Arabidopsis thaliana: one gene and its partners. The protein of the gene in region 1 purifies or fractionates together with the protein of each later gene. This does not show direct contact. Each region holds a gene or a part of one and is shown in the gene's direction. Other genes may lie near its edges. The genes, in order: CKA3, AT4G18330, AT1G62870 and EIF2 GAMMA.

Region 1 (4,491 bases):
AAATTCGTACCCTTTATAACTGAAGGCTAGTGGATTCAAAAGTCAAGTAAGGTAAACAACAGTGTATGACGCTATACATCTATGATATATCTACCGATTACTTTTGCCAATTGCCAAAGCCGCAAAGAAAATCATGGTCTACAATTCAGGAAACTGAATAATTACCTTTAGAAGTTCAAAAATGTAATATCGAACATCATAGTCTGAGAGAGTTGGATAGAGAACTTTGAAATCTTTATTGTTCACATGTTCAAATATCAAGCTGGGCGTCTTAGACTGCTGATCTCTAACAATGTCGAGCAATTTTACAATATTAGGCCCACCGCAGAGGTTCTGCAGAATCTTAATCTCTCTCTTAATCTGCGTCAAGGAGAAGCAAAATATGTTAGAGAATAATTCAAACCAAGTGAAGGGCCAGAAACACACTTCATTCTGAGCACAATTGAGATAAAAACAAGCAAGCGGCTGTATCTACTCACCTTCTTCTTCTTCACAGGCTTCAAAATCTTGATAACACATTTCTCGTTATCAGTAGCATGAATGCCTTCAAAGACCTCACTGTATTTTCCCCTTCCTACCTTCCTCACCACCTCATAATCATCCTGTACACTGCGGCATCAATGAAGCTAACTCAAACACTAATACACCAAACAGTAACAACACCATACAAACTCAAGATATCAATTCAACAATCTAGTTCACATAGACCAGCAATTTTCAAGAGATTATATACAAACAAAACAGATACCAATACAAACAAATCAGATACCAATTCTGCATTACTTACGAGATTATATCATCAATCAAAAATATGAAACGAAACCCTAAATCTACATTCCACATTGATTCCAGAACAACCAATCCCAAACCAATCTATAACCAAAGGCAAACATCTAGAAATCGACGTAATTAGGTTTAATTAGAGAAGAATCTGAAGATATACCCCCATTGAACAGCAAGGGACTCGTAATCCCAATAGTCCTTAGGTCTAACAACGTTGACATCAGCGTAAACCCTAGCTTTCGACGGCGCACCGGCACGCCGGATAGATTTACCGATCTTCTGAGCCAGCGTTTCTGATTTTTCTTTCACGCGCGATTGCTGTTGTTGCTGATGTTGTTGTTGTTGATTCCGGAGATGTTGACGGTAAAGAGAAGCGCTGGATGCGAAACGACGGAGATTGTCCTGGAGCGAAGAGAGAAGAAGATTCCTCTTCGCCGGAGACGACGAAGAGAAGGAGAGGAGAGAGAAGAGATTGTTGTTGGCGGCGGAAGCGTTGCGAAGAGAGGAGATTGTGAATCCAGTACAAGGCCTTAAGGCCATTAATGTCTTTTTTTAACTCTTATTCAGAAAATGAAAAGTGAAGGTAACGAATTTGCTTTATTTCTCTCCTTTCTTTTTCTTTGGCTTCTCTTCGAAACGATGTCGTTTAAACAATTCGGTCCGGTTATAGTGTGATTGAAATCGATCCGATTGGGTTTGTTTCGGTTCGAGTGTGGTTGAATCGGTTCGATTTGGTTTAGGTGGTTTTTGGGTATCAGAGATTCTTCTTCAACCTTTTTCTAATCCTGCACAACGCACTTCTTCTGTTGTCATCATCATCGTCCACTTGAAACAAACCTGACGATCAAAGAGAAGATTGCGATCGCAAATTTCTCCATTTTTTCAGATCGAAATTGATGTCGAAAGCTAGGGTTTATACAGATGTTAACGTTGTTCGTCCTAAAGAGTATTGGGACTACGAGTCTCTCGTTGTTCAATGGGGGTAAAACTTCTAGCTTTAGAATTTTTCTTTGATGAATTTACGATTTTTGACTTCTTTTTGATAAATTTTCGGTGGAATTTGATTGATTTGTTGCCAAATCGAATTCGAAATCAGAGAAATTGGAATTTTTTAGGGTTTGGACTTAGGTCTCTTGAAGACACTTTGTTTTAAGTATCTATTAGCAAATATTGGATTTTGAAATTCAACAGTGTGAGATTCTTAAATACTTTTGTGTGATTCTTCAGTCATCAAGATGATTATGAGGTTGTGAGAAAAGTTGGTAGAGGAAAATACAGTGAAGTTTTCGAAGGCAAAAACGTCAATACGAATGAGCGTTGCGTTATCAAGATCCTCAAACCCGTAAAAAAGAAGAAGGTGATCAGTTAGTAGAACTCATTTCTGATGAATTTGCATACATAAAGATGGCTAATTTTGCTGAAACTTGATGTTATGCAGATAAAGAGAGAGATCAAAATACTTCAGAACCTATGTGGTGGACCAAATATTGTTAAGCTGTATGATATTGTTAGAGATGAGCACTCCAAAACACCTAGCTTGGTATTTGAGTTTGTCAACAGTGTGGACTTTAAAGTATTGTATCCAACATTGACTGATTACGATATCCGGTACTATATTTATGAGCTTCTGAAGGTAATGTATCGGTATTTACCATAAATGACTTTTACCGTACATACAAATGTTTATCGTGGAATCCAGAGCTGATGTTATTGCATTTCAGGCATTGGATTTCTGTCACTCTCAAGGAATAATGCATAGGGATGTTAAGCCTCATAATGTCATGATAGATCATCAGCTGCGTAAACTTCGTCTGATAGATTGGGGCCTTGCTGAGTTTTACCATCCCGGAAAAGAGTATAATGTTCGCGTGGCCTCGAGGTAATATCCGATACCACAGCTTAATTCCACCTGTCTTGGCAAGCCTAAGAGGGTCATTCGTAGATGCCAATGATTGAAACTTTTAGCTGTGCAATCAAAGCTTCTTGTAGTTGTTAAATGCATTAGACTAAAAACCTGTGAATTAATTGCCAGATACTTCAAGGGTCCCGAGCTTTTAGTTGATCTACAGGATTATGACTATTCTTTAGACATGTGGAGTCTTGGTTGCATGTTTGCTGGCATGGTGAGAACTAATAATCCCCTCACTCTTCTCTCTAGCTTCAATGCTGAAGCTATTGCAAGCATTTGAATTTCCGAATGGTAGTCGTTAATACTTTGCTGTTGCTTATTCACTTGTCAAATATTGATGCTGCAGATATTCCGTAAGGAACCGTTCTTTTATGGCCATGATAATCATGATCAACTTGTCAAAATTGCCAAGGTATATTGCTAGTCTATGACTTATTGGCATAAAATTACATTGTAAACTTAAATCCATGTATATGATTTCTGATTGAAACGTGTGCATAGGTGTTGGGAACCAATGAGTTAGATCATTACCTAAACAAATATCAGCTAGATCTTGACCCTCAACTGGAAGCACTTGTTGGAAGGTTTTATTCCATCCCTGAATCTCTCTGTCTTTAAAAGTCAAAATTGTTGCTGTTCTCAACTCTGGCTCAGTTAATTTTATACCAATGAGTTAAAACCTGAAGTCACTCTTATTTGTAGACATGTCCCCAAACCATGGTCCAAGTTTATCAACGCGGACAACCAACATTTGGTCTCACCTGAGGTACTACTCTTTTTCGAAAAACATAGTTTTGCTTCGTTCTGGGTGTATTGACTCATTGTATACATCTTTAGGCAATTGATTTTCTCGATAAGCTTCTTCAGTATGATCATCAAGACAGATTAACCGCAAGAGAAGCCATGGTAAAAATCCTCTTCATGTGCACACATCTTTTGATTTTGTTTTACCCGATGATCTTCATGTGCACACATCTTTTGATTTTGTTTTACCCGATGATCAAGTCAAACTTATAATCTCTGGTTTCTCTATTGATCTATAGGATCATCCATACTTCGCTCAAGTTAAAGCCGCAGAGAGCAGCAGACTACGAACTCAGTAAAACCGAAGCTTGATTGATGATGCTTACTACTATTTTTCAACCAAAAACTTTGTAATGATTTTGTTGTATCAAAATTGTGGTAATCTTTACTTTCATAGAAACATAATCAACAGCGAAAAGAAGCCAACTTATATTAAAAAAAAAGGTTCCACACAAAGCTTCATTATATAATCATAGCAAGAGACTTATTGTTGAAACAAGTAGAGAGAAATAGAAACCATAAAATTTGTCGAGACTTTGATACAAACATAGGAAAGATGAGGATCCATACGTTATACATTGGAATCCTTTATAGTTGAGATAATAGCTTTCATCACTTCTTGAGGTGAGGGAAACAAGCGACAACATCGGCTTTCGGATGCTTCGCCTCCGCGTGCTCCCTGCATTTCACTTCCGATGTCGTGCAGATGAATGTTTGCATACAAACCTTGCACTATATAAACACACACATCAACAAATAACAAGTTAATATAACACAAAGCTTCAGGATCAACAAGAAATAACAAGTTCATTAACACAAAGCTTCAGGATCAACAAGAAATTGTGCATCAACATGAGACAATTAAACTTACGTTTCATGACTACATAAACAATTCCAAAGGACTAATAATAATTGGATTCTTATTAAGAAAAGCTGATTCTAGTAACCAATAATTGTAATATTTCGATGATTTCGAAGACGATGATATAAAGTAA
Region 2 (4,401 bases), on another chromosome or scaffold:
TAGCAACAAAACTTCTTCCATTTTTTCGTAACTCATATATATAGCTTCTGCCTTCTGCTATCAGATTTCATTTCTCTCAAAATTATTTTTCTTGGTTTCATCTCATTTTTTGGAGGGATTTTTGAGAACATCTTTAAAAAAAAAATAATCTTCCAGTTCTTATTTGTTAATTCTTATAGTTTATGCTCTCATCTCACTTCTCTCAAATTTGTTTCTCTCGCAGGGATTCATGGGGAAGTTTGCCTCAAGATCTCCTCAGAAGTTCTACAAATTTGCTTAACCCTAACTTTACCGAAGGTGGGGCACTAAGAGGTGTCAACACTCATTGGAGGAACACATTTCTTTCTTTCCGTGAAGGAGGTTTCGTAGAGGAAAGGCCGTGGTTGTTGTACCGTGAAAGGGGATCCCGAGTTGCCCATTTCTATGACCCTGTGAGAGAGGAGCTACATCATGGGAAAGACCCATATCTTGAAGGGGCCAAATTCTTAGGATCAACATTGGGTTGGGTTGTTATGTCCAACTCCAGTGCCATACACCGACGTCAAGACCACCAAGCTTTCTTATACAACCCGTTCACTTCACAACGGTACCAACTACCCCTTCTCACCACTGATAACCCATGTGTGATCCGTTACGGTGTGCTCACCGGAGATCCCCGTCAAGACAACACTTATGCTTGTCTCCTAGCCGATAGCTTTCACGAAAATAATCATATGGTGATAGCGCATATGCATGCTCCTAGTCGACAAATATATTATGTAGCCAAGAGTAACGGAGACTGGGATCAGAACTGGTCAGTGACTCGTATCCCTACCTTCAACCATCCAATTTGTGGTTCGACTATAGATTCCCTCTCCCCATCTGTGGACAAAATATCAATTATTTTATGGGGCCATACTCTTGACTTCACCTTCCGAACCCAAAATTGGAATGTCTCAAATACTCAAGAGAATGATACCATCGAATGGAATCCTTTCCACGGCCAATCTTTTGATCAGATCAAACATCGACTTCAGATATTTCCACAAACTCTAGACATTATCGGCACTAAAACTGATCGCGAGAGAGTGAAAAACCGCACTTGGGGTGCTAACAACCAAATCGTTTCTTACACTGACGGAGTTTGGGTTGAGGTTCGCGCTTAGCCTAATGTTCTACCACTTGACTCTTTAAGTTATTTCTCTGTGATTGTTTTCGTTATCTATCTTTTATTTGTGTGGTTTAAGATTTTTAGTATTAATTTCTATTTATTGTGTTGCAAACTCTACTCATTGTGGTTTCGTTAGAAACTCTACTTTGGTTTGTTTATAAAAATGCTGATCTTTTATTGTTTATTTTTACGTTAAACTTAATAGACAAACAAAGAACTCTTAATTCGGTGTACATCTCTTCGTTAATATATGTAAAACATATTTTTTTTAAAAAAATTGTTTAGCAAAGAGTAAAATGAAAAATTCTACAAAAGATGTTCTCTTATTTGGCTCCTCTACAAAAAAAACTCAACTCCGATTACAAATTCGAGTTTAAATTTACAGGTTTTCAATATTGGGCCGTATTGGGTGCTAATGGTTTTACTAATAATAAGAATGGGCCTAGTTAATCATAAGGCAATGAAAAAAAGGTTTACAAAACCCTACATTTTTTACCTTCCACGTGTAAACTTCTTCCCCAATCTTACAAATCTTTAACTGTCATCGAGCGAGCTCAACATTTTTCGGACAACAAAGTGTAAGAGACTGATTAAACAAAATCGAGACTTTATAGTACTCAGGTTTGTCGGAATCGACTGAGTATCGAAATTATTGTGGTGTTTTGTGAACAGAAACCAAGGTATGCATGAAATCGTTTTGTATATAAACCCTAATATCGATTTCAGAATTTTCATTGATCTCGTTGTTTTAGCAGGATTAAAGATGGTTCAATCTGTGTTAATTTCGCGTAACAAGGGTTTGGCGGAGCAAGATCTAACTAAGCTTGATGTAACAAAGTTACATCCTCTGTTTCCTGAAGTCATTTCTCGCCAAGCAACCATAAATATCGGTAAATTACACTCTGCTTTTGCCAGCTCCTCTAGGTCTATAGTATAACTTGATGTCAAAGAAACCAATACTGTGCTAAATATATCTCAGGAACCATTGGTCATGTCGCTCACGGTAAATCGACTATAGTGAAAGCTATCTCTGGTGTTCAGACTGTGCGTTTTAAGAATGAATTAGAGCGTAACATTACCATTAAGCTTGGTTATGCAAATGCAAAGATTTACAAGTGTGAGGATGACAAGTGCCCTAGACCAATGTGCTACAAGTGAGTCATAATCTTCTTTTTGATATAATAAGGCTAAGTGTTATTATGTGTAGCAGCAGCTAATCTGTTAATTTTAGGTCATATGGGAGTGGAAAAGAAGACAACCCAACTTGTGATGTCCCCGGATTTGAGAATTGCAAGATGACACTACGGAGACATGTCTCATGTGTCGATTGTCCGGTATTAATGAGTTTAATTTACACTTTGTCTCTCAAAACTAGAACCATTGGCTATATGTAACTGAGTTGTTTTTTATTCATCAGGGACATGATATTCTTATGGCGACAATGCTCAATGGAGCAGCAATCGTGGATGGTGCTTTACTTCTAATTGCTGCTAACGAGAGTTGTCCACAACCACAAACCGCTGAACATCTTGCTTCTGTTGATATGATGCGCCTTAAGCATATCATAATCCTTCAGAACAAGATTGATCTCATTAATGAGAAAGCCGCCACTGAACAGCACGAGGCTATTCAGAAATTTATAACGGTTTGATCAATTTTCTTATCTCTCTGTTGTTAAATCTTTCATGACTTCATCAGTTTGGTTCTCATATTTTCTGTCACATATATAATGTTGCAGAACACGAATGCTGAGGATGCACCTATAGTTCCTGTCTCAGCACAACTGAAATACAACATTGATGTTGTGAGTGAATACATTGTCAAGAAGATTCCAATCCCTGTGAGAGACTTTGTGTCACCACCAAAGATGATTGTGATTCGTTCTTTCGATGTCAATAAACCTGGCTCGGCGGGTCATGAAATGAAAGGTGGTGTTGCTGGTGGAAGTATCCTCCAGGTATGTTTTTATCTCTCTGTTTCTCCTCTGTTCTTACCTGACTGTGAAACAATTTAGTATTAATATGTGTCTCTCTTTGTTTGGGTGTTTTGAAAGTGAACCAACTGATTGAAATTAGACCTGGTATCACTGGCAAAGATGAGCATGGAAACTCAAAATGCACTCCAATTTACTCGCGTATAACTTCACTATACGCGGAACAGAACGAGCTTCAGTTTGCTGTACCGGGAGGTCTAATCGGAGTTGGAACAACCATGGACCCTACGCTTACGCGTGCTGATAGGTTGGTTGGTCAAGTCCTTGGTGAAATGGGTACTCTCCCTGACGTCTTTGTTGAGCTTGAAGTAAGTTACCAGCTTCTGACTCGTCTCATTGGAGTGAGGACAAAGGAAAAAGAGAAGCAAATGAAAGTGTCAAAGCTAACCAAAGAAGAGATATTGATGGTGAACATCGGGTCTATGTCTACGGGAGCTAAGGTTATTGGAGTCAAGAAAGATATGGTGAAACTCCAACTGACGTCTCCGGTGTGTACCACCATAGGAGAGAAGGTTGCTTTAAGCCGACGTGTCGATAGGCATTGGCGTCTAATTGGTAAGGGTCAGATTATGGCTGGAACCACCATCGATGTTCCTCCTCCTCCTTTCTAATGAAGTAGTGATGAGTTTTTTATATTGTTTGCATTCAAAAATAATTAACATGTGCCTTTGTATGTTTAATCACTTTCTTTCGACTACAATATAAAACTATATTCATATTTAACACAACATTGACGAAAATTTAAAAAACAAATTCATAATTTCATTAATGATATTACTTATCACTAATTAGGAATTATATAATTCTAATTCCCTCCTCGTTCTGAGCTTTTGTTTCATCTTTACGCTCTCTCTTACTCTCAGCCAAAACCCTATACTCTCTTTCAATCCCAATGGAAGATTTGGTTTTGATGAAACAGAGTCTTCTAAAAAGCTTCATCGTCTCTCTTATTCTCACTCTCGTCTTCCTCATCTCACCATCATCATCATCTTCGAATCAAGAAACAAGAGTATCATCAACACAAAAAACGGAAGCTTATCTCAACGGTTACGAATCACCGCACCAACTCGTCTACATCAAGAAAACGACACCGTTTATCTTGAACCAGCGGTTGCAACGAGACAACCACCGTCGTCGTCGTTACAATCACCAATACTACTACTACTATCGACATACTCTTCGTCATCGCCGTGGTCTTCATCATCGTGCTGGCTACTTCAAGATGATGGCCAAGAAGAATAACGGTTTAAACCGTCCG
Region 3 (5,231 bases), on another chromosome or scaffold:
TATTTTCTAAATTCCACAGCTACTTTATGATAAGTAATGTATCATAACTATATATTGTATAATTTGTAGAGTAAATAGGTAATCTAAGTAAATAACTTAACAAAAAATGGTATAAGTAAAAAGAACAACTAAAGAAAAACATGAGATGAGTGTTGTAACAACCATAAGACTCATGAATACCACACAAGACAGTTAAGAAAAGAGAGTATATGTCGTTGTAAAAAAGGGATAGGGTAAAAGTCAACTATTTCAGTAGAAAAAGTAAGAAATTTAAAGAGAATTTACTAAAATATCAAAATAACACATCTACGACAAACAATGCAATTCCATAATGCTAATAGATTAAACAACTCAGATTAAACATATGTAGTGTCCAAAACAAACATTACGGAAAAAAACGTTGGTTTATTATGTTATATTTATCCATTTTTGTTGTCAACAACATTTGTCAATTATATTAAAGAAAAAAATGTTCACGAATTCTAAAAATTACAAAAATTGTCACTATTTGTCACTGATACAAAAACTCAGGATGACAATCAGGAAATTTTGTTTTCATTCTTACAAGAAATATGATAATAGTGGTTTGAAACATATTGATTTTTGTATTGAATTTTTTTTTATCAGGAATAAAATACTAGCAATAATATTACTCGTAGTAAACTTTCAAAAAAAAATTATAATTTTTCTTGAGAAAAAATAGTTTATTTTCCAGTTAATAGTTTTTTCAAAAAAAATGAAAGTAGAGTTTCTATTATACTATGTAACATGCATTATACTACTTCAAGTAGAAACAAATTGTAATGGTGAGTAAATGTCTTTATTACTGAACCAATTATATTCAAAAATATTTTTTTTGTCACAGTCAATAAATATATTTTTTACTGGATTCTGAAAATAATAAATAAGTATTTACTAAAGAATGTCCTTTTGGTCAACAACTCTCTCTCACACACACAGAGAGACACAGTCCCTAAAGAAACAAATTAAATTCCTAGGTTGCCCTTTTATGCCCACATTCTGAATATATCCCACATAGACAACAAGACACAAATGGAAACCCCACTCATCATTTTTTTGTATTTTTCCTTCTTTTACAATCATAATTATACCCAAAAAAAAAGTAAAAACATTAAATTAATAAAAAACATGTCTTTCACTCACTCATTTACTAACACTTTCACACAATTATCTACTTTTAAAAGAATCATTTAATGATTTAGTACTAAATTTGTGAGCTGCTTTGCTTATGTCATTGAATGATTTACCCTGTTAATAGTATTTATATTGGTGGGTTAGTTCATAACACGAATCATATACCAAATTTGATTACGTGGAATAGTTGATACTATACAATAGTAGATCAATATTTTATAATCATATAAATTAGAAAAAGAGGAAACAGACGAAGACCTCTTCCACACAAGAACCCAACAATTCACTCAAAAAAAACAGAAAAATATGAAAACAAGACACATCCAAAAATATTTTTTTAAAAAAAACTGAAAAAGTGATATTTATTTTTATTAAAAAGGTATAAAACCAATAATATATAGTATTAAAAATACCTTTATGGAGAGCGTGAGAATCACGTGCCAATGAGAGTGAAGTGAGAGACTAAAACAACCAATGCTTTGTTTCCGTTCTCGTACGACGTGGGACTCTGGTCTCACCTTGTTCCTATCAAACGTTTCATTCAATGTTACAAACACGCGCTTACCTTATGCGCGTGAGATTCACTTTTGTCTCCCTTATTTTCTTCTCCTTCCTCTCTCTGTCTCTCTCTACTGTCTCTTTCTTTCTTCTTCTTCTCCTTTTTGAAATTTCTCAGTCTCTTAAAAAATAGAATCGAAAGAAACTATCAGTGTGATAGCAGAGCAGAGAGGAACAAAGTTTTTTTTTTTTTTCAGAGGTGAAGCAAAAACAGAGACAAAGTTTATTTATTTCTATTTCTGTTCTCTGTTATGAGGAACCGCCGGAGTTATCTCCGACCGCCGGCGAAATTTTCTCTTCAATTTCATCAAAATCCACTAGTCTCAGCTTAATTTCGTTCAGGGTTGTTGTTTAAGTTTTTTGACTTTACAATGGCGACGACGACAAACGCAACAACAACGGCGACACAACAGCAAACGCAAACGCAATCACCAACGCAACAACCGTCGGCGGAAGAATTAGCGACAAAGGCGTTACAAAAGCGTTACGAAGGATTAATGATGGTAAGAACAAAAGCAGTTAAAGGCAAAGGCGCGTGGTATTGGAGTCACCTTGAACCAATCTTACTACACAACACCGACACTGGTTTCCCTAAAGCCGTTAAACTCCGATGTTCTTTATGCGACGCCGTTTTCTCAGCTTCTAATCCTTCCCGAACTGCTTCTGAGCATCTTAAACGTGGAACTTGTCCAAATTTCAACTCTTTACCTAAACCCATCTCCACAATCTCTCCTTCTCCTCCTCCTCCTCCGTCTTCTTCTCACCGGAAACGTAATTCCTCCGCCGTGGAAGCTCTGAATCATCATCATCATCATCCTCATCATCATCATCAAGGGTCTTATAATGTGACGCCTCTTAGTGTCGTTGATCCCTCGAGATTCTGTGGGCAGTTTCCGGTTACACAGCAGCCGCATTTGATGCTTTCCGGTGGAAAAGACGATTTGGGTCCATTAGCTATGCTTGAAGATAGTGTGAAGAAGCTCAAGAGTCCTAAAACTTCTCAGACGCGGAATCTAACTAAAGCTCAGATAGATTCTGCGTTAGATTCTCTCTCTGATTGGGTTTTTGAATCTTGTGGCTCTGTTTCTTTATCTGGTCTCGAGCATCCAAAGTTGAGAGCTTTTTTGACGCAAGTTGGTTTACCGATCATCTCAAGGAGAGATTTTGTCACCGGAAGATTGGATTTGAAGTATGAAGATTCGAGAGCAGAGGCTGAATCGAGAATCCACGACGCAATGTTCTTTCAGATTGCTTCTGATGGATGGAAATTCGACAGCTCCGGCGAGAATTTGGTGAATTTGATTGTGAATTTGCCTAATGGGACGAGTTTGTATAGACGAGCTGTGTTTGTGAACGGAGCTGTGCCGTCTAATTACGCAGAGGAGGTTTTGTGGGAGACGGTGAGGGGTATTTGTGGTAATTCACCTCAGAGGTGTGTTGGGATTGTTTCAGATAGGTTTATGAGTAAGGCATTGAGGAATCTTGAGAGCCAGCATCAATGGATGGTGAATCTCTCTTGTCAGTTTCAAGGTTTCAACAGTTTGATTCGAGATTTTGTAAAAGAGCTTCCTTTGTTTAAATCCGTCTCTCAAAGCTGCTCGAGGCTCGTTAATTTCGTGAACAGCACGGCACAGATCCGAAACGCGGTTTGTAAGTATCAGTTGCAAGAGCAAGGAGAGACTAGGATGCTGCATTTGCCTTTGGATAGTTCTTTGTTTGAGCCATTGTATAATCTCCTTGAGGATGTGCTTAGTTTCGCTAGAGCGATTCAGCTGGTGATGCATGATGATGTGTGTAAGGCTGTTCTAATGGAGGATCATATGGCTAGAGAGGTTGGTGAAATGGTTGGAGATGTCGGGTTTTGGAACGAGGTAGAGGCGGTTTATTTGTTGTTGAAGCTTGTTAAAGAAATGGCTCGGAGAATAGAGGAAGAGAGGCCTTTGGTAGGGCAATGTTTACCGCTATGGGATGAGCTAAGGTCCAAGATAAAAGATTGGTATGCAAAGTTCAATGTTGTTGAAGAGAGGCAAGTAGAGAAGATCGTTGAGAGAAGATTCAAGAAGAGTTATCACCCAGCTTGGGCTGCGGCGTTTATACTTGATCCGCTTTACTTGATAAAAGACAGTAGCGGAAAATATCTTCCTCCATTCAAATGCTTGTCCCCGGAGCAAGAGAAAGATGTTGATAAGTTAATAACAAGGCTTGTGTCTAGAGACGAGGCACATATCGCGATGATGGAGCTGATGAAATGGAGAACAGAAGGGCTTGATCCGGTTTACGCAAGGGCGGTTCAAATGAAGGAGAGAGATCCTGTTTCGGGGAAAATGAGGATAGCTAATCCACAAAGTAGTAGACTTGTTTGGGAAACTTATCTTAGTGAGTTCAGGTCATTGGGGAGAGTTGCAGTTAGGCTTATTTTTCTCCATGCAACTTCTTGTGGTTTCAAATGCAATTCCTCTGTTTTGAGATGGGTAAATTCGAATGGAAGATCACGCGCAGCCGTGGATCGAGCTCAAAAGTTGATCTTTATATCCGCTAACTCGAAATTCGAAAGGAGAGACTTCTCCAACGAGGAAGAGAGAGATGCGGAGCTGCTCGCTATGGCGAATGGCGAAGATGATGTGCTAAACGATGTTCTCATCGATACATCCTCAGTGTGACTTGTTAATTTTTACCAAATTTAGTTTTTCACTAGAACTTGGCCATTTTGTAGGATTGCTTGAATTCATTTTTTTTGTTGTTAACTTTTTTTTTTACTACCCTTAATTCAATTTGTACTTGGCTCCTTTAGGAGGTGAGAAAGAGAGCCATATCATTGTATTTCTTTTAGTCTATTTTGATCATAATTTTAGGCAATTTTTCCGTGTCTTTTTTCGAACTTAAGCAATGATCTTGAGACTGATTTTGAAATTCTTGCATACAAGCGACTCTTGTAAAGTTCTTGTCTATATCATATTACCATTAGAAGTTTCATGTTTCTGCACACATTTGGTTTGCGTAGCAATGAAATCTAATGTGAATCGACCTCTCGTCGTGATCATCATCAATCTATTGGTTCAAAAGGTCCAAGGTTGTAGTTAAGAACATTAATGGCATCAACAGAAGATTCAACGACAGCTTCATTCATCTTCTGTATTGTACATTGTAATGATCTCTTTTGTTCTGTTGTTCTTTTGTTCTTTTTTCATTAACGTTAATATTCTTAATCATGACTCAAAACAATGTCTTTTCCATTTCAAGAAATTGACTTAATAAAACATTTTATTTTTGAACATTTTTCACGTTCTTGCTTCATCATAACATGTTAGTCTCTATTGATGTCGACGACGAAAGATGTAGACCTTTTTGTCACCTAAGAACTGAACCGGGTTTTCGGGTTCACTTCAACTATGATTACGATTATCTATCTATCTAACTTATCAATCTATCGAGTAGTTTCTTTAAAATCTTTTCTCAAAAAATGTGGATCCCCCACTAGGAAAGCAAATTTAGTGGGAGGTTCTTGCATCAAAATCATA
Region 4 (5,364 bases), on another chromosome or scaffold:
ATGTTTCATGGTGTACAGGTTCCTTTGGTACTCATCCAGAAGATACACACTCAAACTTTCTCGTTCGTCAATGTGCAACTATTTAACAGGTAAATAATACTTGAGAATTACATCTAATGGTTTCTACACACCTTATCATCGATACTCGTCAAAGTACAAACCTTCCTATGGTTGATATTTCTCAAATTCCTATGGAAGATATAAGCCAAGATCACTAGTGTTTTCTTACTTGGTTTTTTCCTTAACATCTTACAATAGCCTTCTACTGCGTAAAGAGTGTTGTACATTCAGCAATGGAGAATTTGTAAAGTCTGGGCTTGCAGAGCTAGAATTGTGGTGCGGCCAAGTCAATGAAGTAAGTTCCTACCTCACGTTTTCCTTCCGGAAAAAGTTTCTTTCGGCTCATTATATCATTCTTTGATTTTGCAGTATGCTGGGCCATCTTGGGATGAACTGAAACACATCAGACAAGCTGTTGGGTTCCTGGTATGTTTTACTCTTGTTTAATACTAACTTGTGGAACTCTTGTTTCTTGAATCTTCAAAAACGAATACTTCTCCTCTCGTAACTTATCAGGTTATCCACCAGAAGTACAGAGTATCATACGATGATATAGTACATGATCTTTGCCCGGTAAAGCTCCTTCTTAGTTTCTAGAAACACGTTTTTGCCTAGACTCCATACTTAATGGCTTTCTTGTTTCACTTTATTACAGATCCTTAGTGTCCAACAACTTTACCGGATATGCACATTATACTGGGACGACTGCTATAACACCCGAAGTGTGTCTCAAGAGGTAATATCGAGCATGCGTGCGCTCATGACAGAAGAATCCAACGATGCCGACAGCAATTCCTTCTTGTTGGATGATAATTCCAGGTAACTCGAATCATTTCTTAAAGATTAATATCAGTAGTAGAAACTAAAACCGGTTTATTGTTCGCAGCATTCCCTTCTCAATAGACGAGATTTCGAATTCGATGCACGAAAAAGACTTTGCGAGTGTCAAACCGGCCAAAGAGCTACTGGAAAACCCAGAATTCGTATTCTTGCACTAGTGAGAAGCTCGGATTCTAAAAAAGCTCTTCCTCTGTTTCTTTTTAGTCTGAGTGGGGGAGGGGTGCCTTCTTGAACCAAAAGGAAAGAAGATTACAAAAGTGTAAATTTTTACTTCTTGTGGGGTTGTTTCTTTCTTGCAAAACCTCTGTGATTTCTCTCTCACCAATTCATTCATTTATTTATTTGACCCCATTTCAAAGTTTTTTCTCCATTTTAGACCCAAGATTATTATCTGGTTTTTTTTTTTCACGGCTCAAGTTCTACACGATGAAGATCCTTTGTTGTTGTTGTACAGAATTAATCTACTTAATTTGTTATAAACTTGCCCCAACTCTTTTCAGTGATTTTTTTTTAAAAAATTTGGGACTCAATCAAACTCCATTACACCTGGTGATATTGGTTTAAAACCAACGTTTCTGACTTCAACAGCCGAGATTCAAAGACTTCAAAACCTTCCAAAAAAAAACAAATTCATAACTGGTTCGGAAAGATAAATTGACAAACCCGAGAGAGATAGAGGAACACGAACGCTTATAGTCGATCGCAAATAGGCCTTTCACTTGAGGTGTCTGTCTCAAGTTCGAATTCTAAAAGTTTTATGGTTTTTTTTGTTTAACTGTGTTTTATGTTGGGCCAAATTGTTTTTTGCTTTTAGGCATTAAATTTAGTCGGGCCGGCCCTGCACATAAAATTAATATGATGAAATGTTTTGGGTTTGATACTTTGATTCATAGAAAAAGTAAATTAGTCTCTACTGATAGTAATTTAATTAAATACTAGTATTTCATTATTTTGTAAGAAATTTTAGAAAGGGAAAAAAAAAAAAGGTTACGCGAAGGAAACCAAAAACCCTTTAGGGACTTGGATAGAAAAAAAAAAACCATTTTGTGCATCTTCTTCAAGCTGCGCCGCTTTCTCACTCTTTTTTATCTCTCAAATTTGACCTTCTCCGTTGTTCTTTCGCATCGCTCAGGTTCGTTTCGATCTCGAATTACATCTCCTACGGATTCAATATTTGTTCAACCTAATTGTTCCCATTTCTATCGCACGAAGATTAGTTCGGGGAATCTAATCGTAATCATAATGTTTTTTTAGATTGCGAATCGAAATTATTGTGATATTTAGGTAACGGAGCTCAGGTATAGAATCTGTGTGTCGACTTGATTAGGGCAGATGTAGAAAAACCTGAGAAGTAGTCTTTTTCAGATTAACTAGGGTTAGGGTTCTGATTTGATGCTCGGTTTTAAGCAGGAGCAGAAGCTTCAATCTTTGATAATGTCGAGGAACAAGGGTTTGGCTGAGCAAGATCTTAAAAAATTGGATGTAACTGTGCTACATCCTCTGTCTCCTGAGGTCATTTCTCGCCAGGCCACTATTAATATAGGTAACGCTTTTTTGAGTCTTTTATATAAGTTGATGTTGAAGAAACTGGCAGTTCCTATAAGCTAAAGATGATAGTGTTATGTTTCAGGAACCATTGGTCATGTCGCTCATGGAAAGTCCACTGTTGTTAAAGCTATTTCTGGTGTCCAGGTAAAATTTGATTATGCGGTTTTCACAATTGTAATCCTAGAGGCTTTTCTAGCTTGCAGCGTTTGATCAATTGGAGTGGGTGAAGTGATTTCTATGGTTTCCTTATCTTCTCTGTACAGACTGTCCGTTTTAAAAATGAATTGGAGCGTAACATTACCATTAAGCTTGGATATGCAAACGCCAAGATTTACAAATGTGAGGATGAGAAATGCCCTAGACCAATGTGCTACAAGTGAGTCCTTCTTACAACAGTGTTTTTATCTTCTACTTCTACTATAAGGTTTGAGTCAAGGTCTAACAACTTATCTGTTGTATTAGGGCCTACGGAAGTGGAAAGGAAGACACTCCCAATTGTGATGTCCCCGGATTTGAAAACTCCAAGATGAAACTATTGAGGCATGTCTCATTCGTTGATTGCCCGGTATGATGAGTTTTACCGTTATCTTTATTCTTCATTAATTACCATTTTCATTTGATAGTATAAGTGTATAACCATTTCATGTGTCAATGAGCTGTTCGTTTATTGTGTATTATCGATGTTGTTGTGCTCCACCTGCATGATTTTGGGTCTCTCATTTAATTGGGTGAAGGGCTTAAAGAGTGAGGGTTGATGGAGAAGTATTCATTGATGTTTCCATCTTTTGCTTTTCTTATCTCTACTTCATTCTTGTTGAATGTATTCTTGTTCTATTCTTCAGGGTCACGATATTCTCATGGCAACAATGCTTAATGGAGCAGCCATCATGGATGGTGCACTACTTTTAATCGCTGCAAATGAAACTTGTCCACAACCACAAACGTCTGAACATCTTGCTGCCGTTGAGATTATGCAACTTAAGCATATCATCATCCTTCAGAACAAGATTGATCTTATTCAAGAGAATGTTGCCATTAATCAGCACGAGGCAATTCAGAAATTTATAATGGTTAGGTTTTCTTATCTCTTAAGGATCTGTTGTAGCATTCTCATTTCGTCACTTGGTTAAGCTAAGTATTGAAGAACTTGGTTCTAAAATTTCTTTCACATCCTGTTGCAGAACACTGTTGCTGATGCTGCTCCGATCGTCCCTGTCTCAGCACAACTGAAATACAACATTGATGTGGTGTGCGAGTACATTGTCAAGAAGATCCCAATCCCTGAGAGGAATTTTGTGTCACCCCCAAATATGATAGTGATTCGGTCTTTTGATGTCAACAAACCTGGTTATGAGGTTGATGAGATCAAAGGTGGAGTTGCAGGTGGAAGTATCCTACGGGTATCTATTCTCTCTCTCTCCCTTTCTCTTGTTGTGCCTCTTAAGTACATCAAGCTTTATATGGTGTAATCAGTATCTCTTAACTACATGTATATTGTAGGGTGTTTTGAGAGTCAACCAATTAATCGAAATCCGACCTGGTATCGTTACCAAAGACGAGCGTGGCAACTCAAAATGCACTCCAATTTACTCTCGCATCATTTCACTCTACGCGGAACAGAACGAGCTTCAGTTTGCTGTTCCTGGAGGTCTAATAGGAGTTGGAACAACAATGGACCCAACTCTCACTCGTGCAGATCGATTAGTTGGTCAAGTCCTTGGTGAAATCGGTTCACTTCCTGATGTATTTGTTGAACTCGAGGTATAAACAACTCCTCACAACCATACTCTTCAGTCTTTATGGTCCTAATGGGTCTCTTAGTGTATTTTCTCCTTTTAATTTGTGGTTATGTAAAATCTGTAGGTGAACTTCTTTCTTCTACGACGTTTGTTGGGAGTGAGAACAAAGGGATCAGAGAAACAAGGGAAAGTGTCAAAGCTAACGAAAGGAGAGATTCTGATGCTCAACATTGGTTCGATGTCCACTGGAGCCAAAGTTGTAGGAGTTAAAGTCGATCTGGCTAAACTGCAACTGACTGCGCCTGTTTGTACCAGCAAAGGAGAGAAAGTGGCTCTAAGCAGACGTGTGGAAAAGCATTGGCGTTTGATTGGTTGGGGTCAGATTCAAGCTGGAACCACCATCGAAGTTCCTCCTTCACCTTTCTAAGCTATGTGTTATTTTTGTCCTTTTTGTTTGTGTTTCTGAAAAAAAGATTGTTAAACCCCTCAAAAAGATAATAAAACTCTTTTTCTCGTTGGGGGATTTTGGAGAGTTCGTCTTTGCGGATTAAACATCTTCAAACAGTACCTGATTTGTTATTGTTACTAGTTTGCTCTTTGTTATTGTTACTAGTTTGCTCTTTGTTTGTGTTTTTCTCTTAGATATTACTAAATTTTGTTGTCTCTCTTTTTTTTTTTGAAATTTTTGTCAGAGATACTCTGCTACTTGACTATACATACTTTCTTCAGAAAAGGAACAACTTCATTACTCATTAGGATCCGATCAAGTACGACTTTTTATAATAAATACGACTTTTTAGTCAAAATGTTCATGTCTTCTCTCTAAAGAACGTTATTTGTTTGCGATTTGAATTGAGTGTCTTGCCTTCCACTGTGTATATCCGTGCGAAAACTTATGTTACATAGACGGGACTGCAGAGGCAGCAAGTCTCCATTCGGCTCATCTGGAACTGTCTCAACAACACTTGCATTTGTGGTTCGCCTTCCCATTGAAATGAGAAGAATCGCTGACTGTGTTCCAAAGTGATGGGTTAACATGCCAACCTTTCATGCAGGGAAACAAGTTTAGTTACCTAGACTCCCGCAACAAATACTTGCACAAATTGAAACTCTGGAAGAAGATAAACCCGAATGGTACTTTCATCACGCACTTGCTCCACAATACCTTCTATTGGCT

The links.
Region 2: the proteins of CKA3 (region 1) and AT4G18330 fractionate together in Arabidopsis thaliana (co-fractionation; one large-scale study listed by BioGRID). This does not show direct contact.
Region 3: the proteins of CKA3 (region 1) and AT1G62870 fractionate together in Arabidopsis thaliana (co-fractionation; one large-scale study listed by BioGRID). This does not show direct contact.
Region 4: the proteins of CKA3 (region 1) and EIF2 GAMMA fractionate together in Arabidopsis thaliana (co-fractionation; one large-scale study listed by BioGRID). This does not show direct contact.

What each region holds. Positions count from the first base shown.
Region 1 is NC_003071.7:9,825,549-9,830,039, forward strand, and holds CKA3 (Protein kinase superfamily protein), read left to right. Parts: upstream 1-1,555; 5' UTR 1,556-1,679; coding exon 1,680-1,765; intron 1,766-2,010; coding exon 2,011-2,140; intron 2,141-2,221; coding exon 2,222-2,416; intron 2,417-2,504; coding exon 2,505-2,662; intron 2,663-2,815; coding exon 2,816-2,906; intron 2,907-3,038; coding exon 3,039-3,104; intron 3,105-3,193; coding exon 3,194-3,276; intron 3,277-3,394; coding exon 3,395-3,458; coding exon of another isoform or gene 3,459-3,509; exon of another isoform or gene 3,510-3,529; coding exon 3,530-3,598; intron 3,599-3,735; coding exon 3,736-3,795; 3' UTR 3,796-3,989; downstream 3,990-4,491. Other genes in the region: AT2G23070 (Protein kinase superfamily protein), read right to left, coding at 166-360, 480-609, 944-1,323; AT2G23090 (Uncharacterized protein family SERF), read right to left, coding at 4,109-4,228. UniProt on the Arabidopsis thaliana protein: Casein kinases are operationally defined by their preferential utilization of acidic proteins such as caseins as substrates. The alpha chain contains the catalytic site. The tetrameric holoenzyme CK2 is composed of two alpha and two beta subunits.
Region 2 is NC_003075.7:10,124,834-10,129,234, forward strand, and holds AT4G18330 (Translation elongation factor EF1A/initiation factor IF2gamma family protein), read left to right. Parts: upstream 1-1,745; 5' UTR 1,746-1,830; intron 1,831-1,902; 5' UTR 1,903-1,913; coding exon 1,914-2,040; intron 2,041-2,129; coding exon 2,130-2,304; intron 2,305-2,381; coding exon 2,382-2,484; intron 2,485-2,567; coding exon 2,568-2,795; intron 2,796-2,888; coding exon 2,889-3,107; intron 3,108-3,190; coding exon 3,191-3,754; 3' UTR 3,755-3,901; downstream 3,902-4,401. Other genes in the region: AT4G18320 (uncharacterized protein), read left to right, coding at 183-1,145; AT4G18335 (uncharacterized protein), read left to right, coding at 4,036-4,401.
Region 3 is NC_003070.9:23,283,362-23,288,592, reverse strand, and holds AT1G62870 (uncharacterized protein), read left to right. Parts: upstream 1-1,795; 5' UTR 1,796-2,084; coding exon 2,085-4,373; 3' UTR 4,374-4,681; downstream 4,682-5,231.
Region 4 is NC_003070.9:1,095,089-1,100,452, forward strand, and holds EIF2 GAMMA (eukaryotic translation initiation factor 2 gamma subunit), read left to right. Parts: upstream 1-1,793; 5' UTR 1,794-2,032; exon of another isoform or gene 2,033-2,198; intron 2,199-2,310; 5' UTR 2,311-2,334; coding exon 2,335-2,443; intron 2,444-2,530; coding exon 2,531-2,592; intron 2,593-2,711; coding exon 2,712-2,824; intron 2,825-2,910; coding exon 2,911-3,013; intron 3,014-3,290; coding exon 3,291-3,518; intron 3,519-3,629; coding exon 3,630-3,848; intron 3,849-3,948; coding exon 3,949-4,209; intron 4,210-4,311; coding exon 4,312-4,614; 3' UTR 4,615-4,813; downstream 4,814-5,364. Other genes in the region: XIB (myosin XI B), read left to right, coding at 19-89, 259-355, 430-486, 577-633, 716-879, 947-1,058.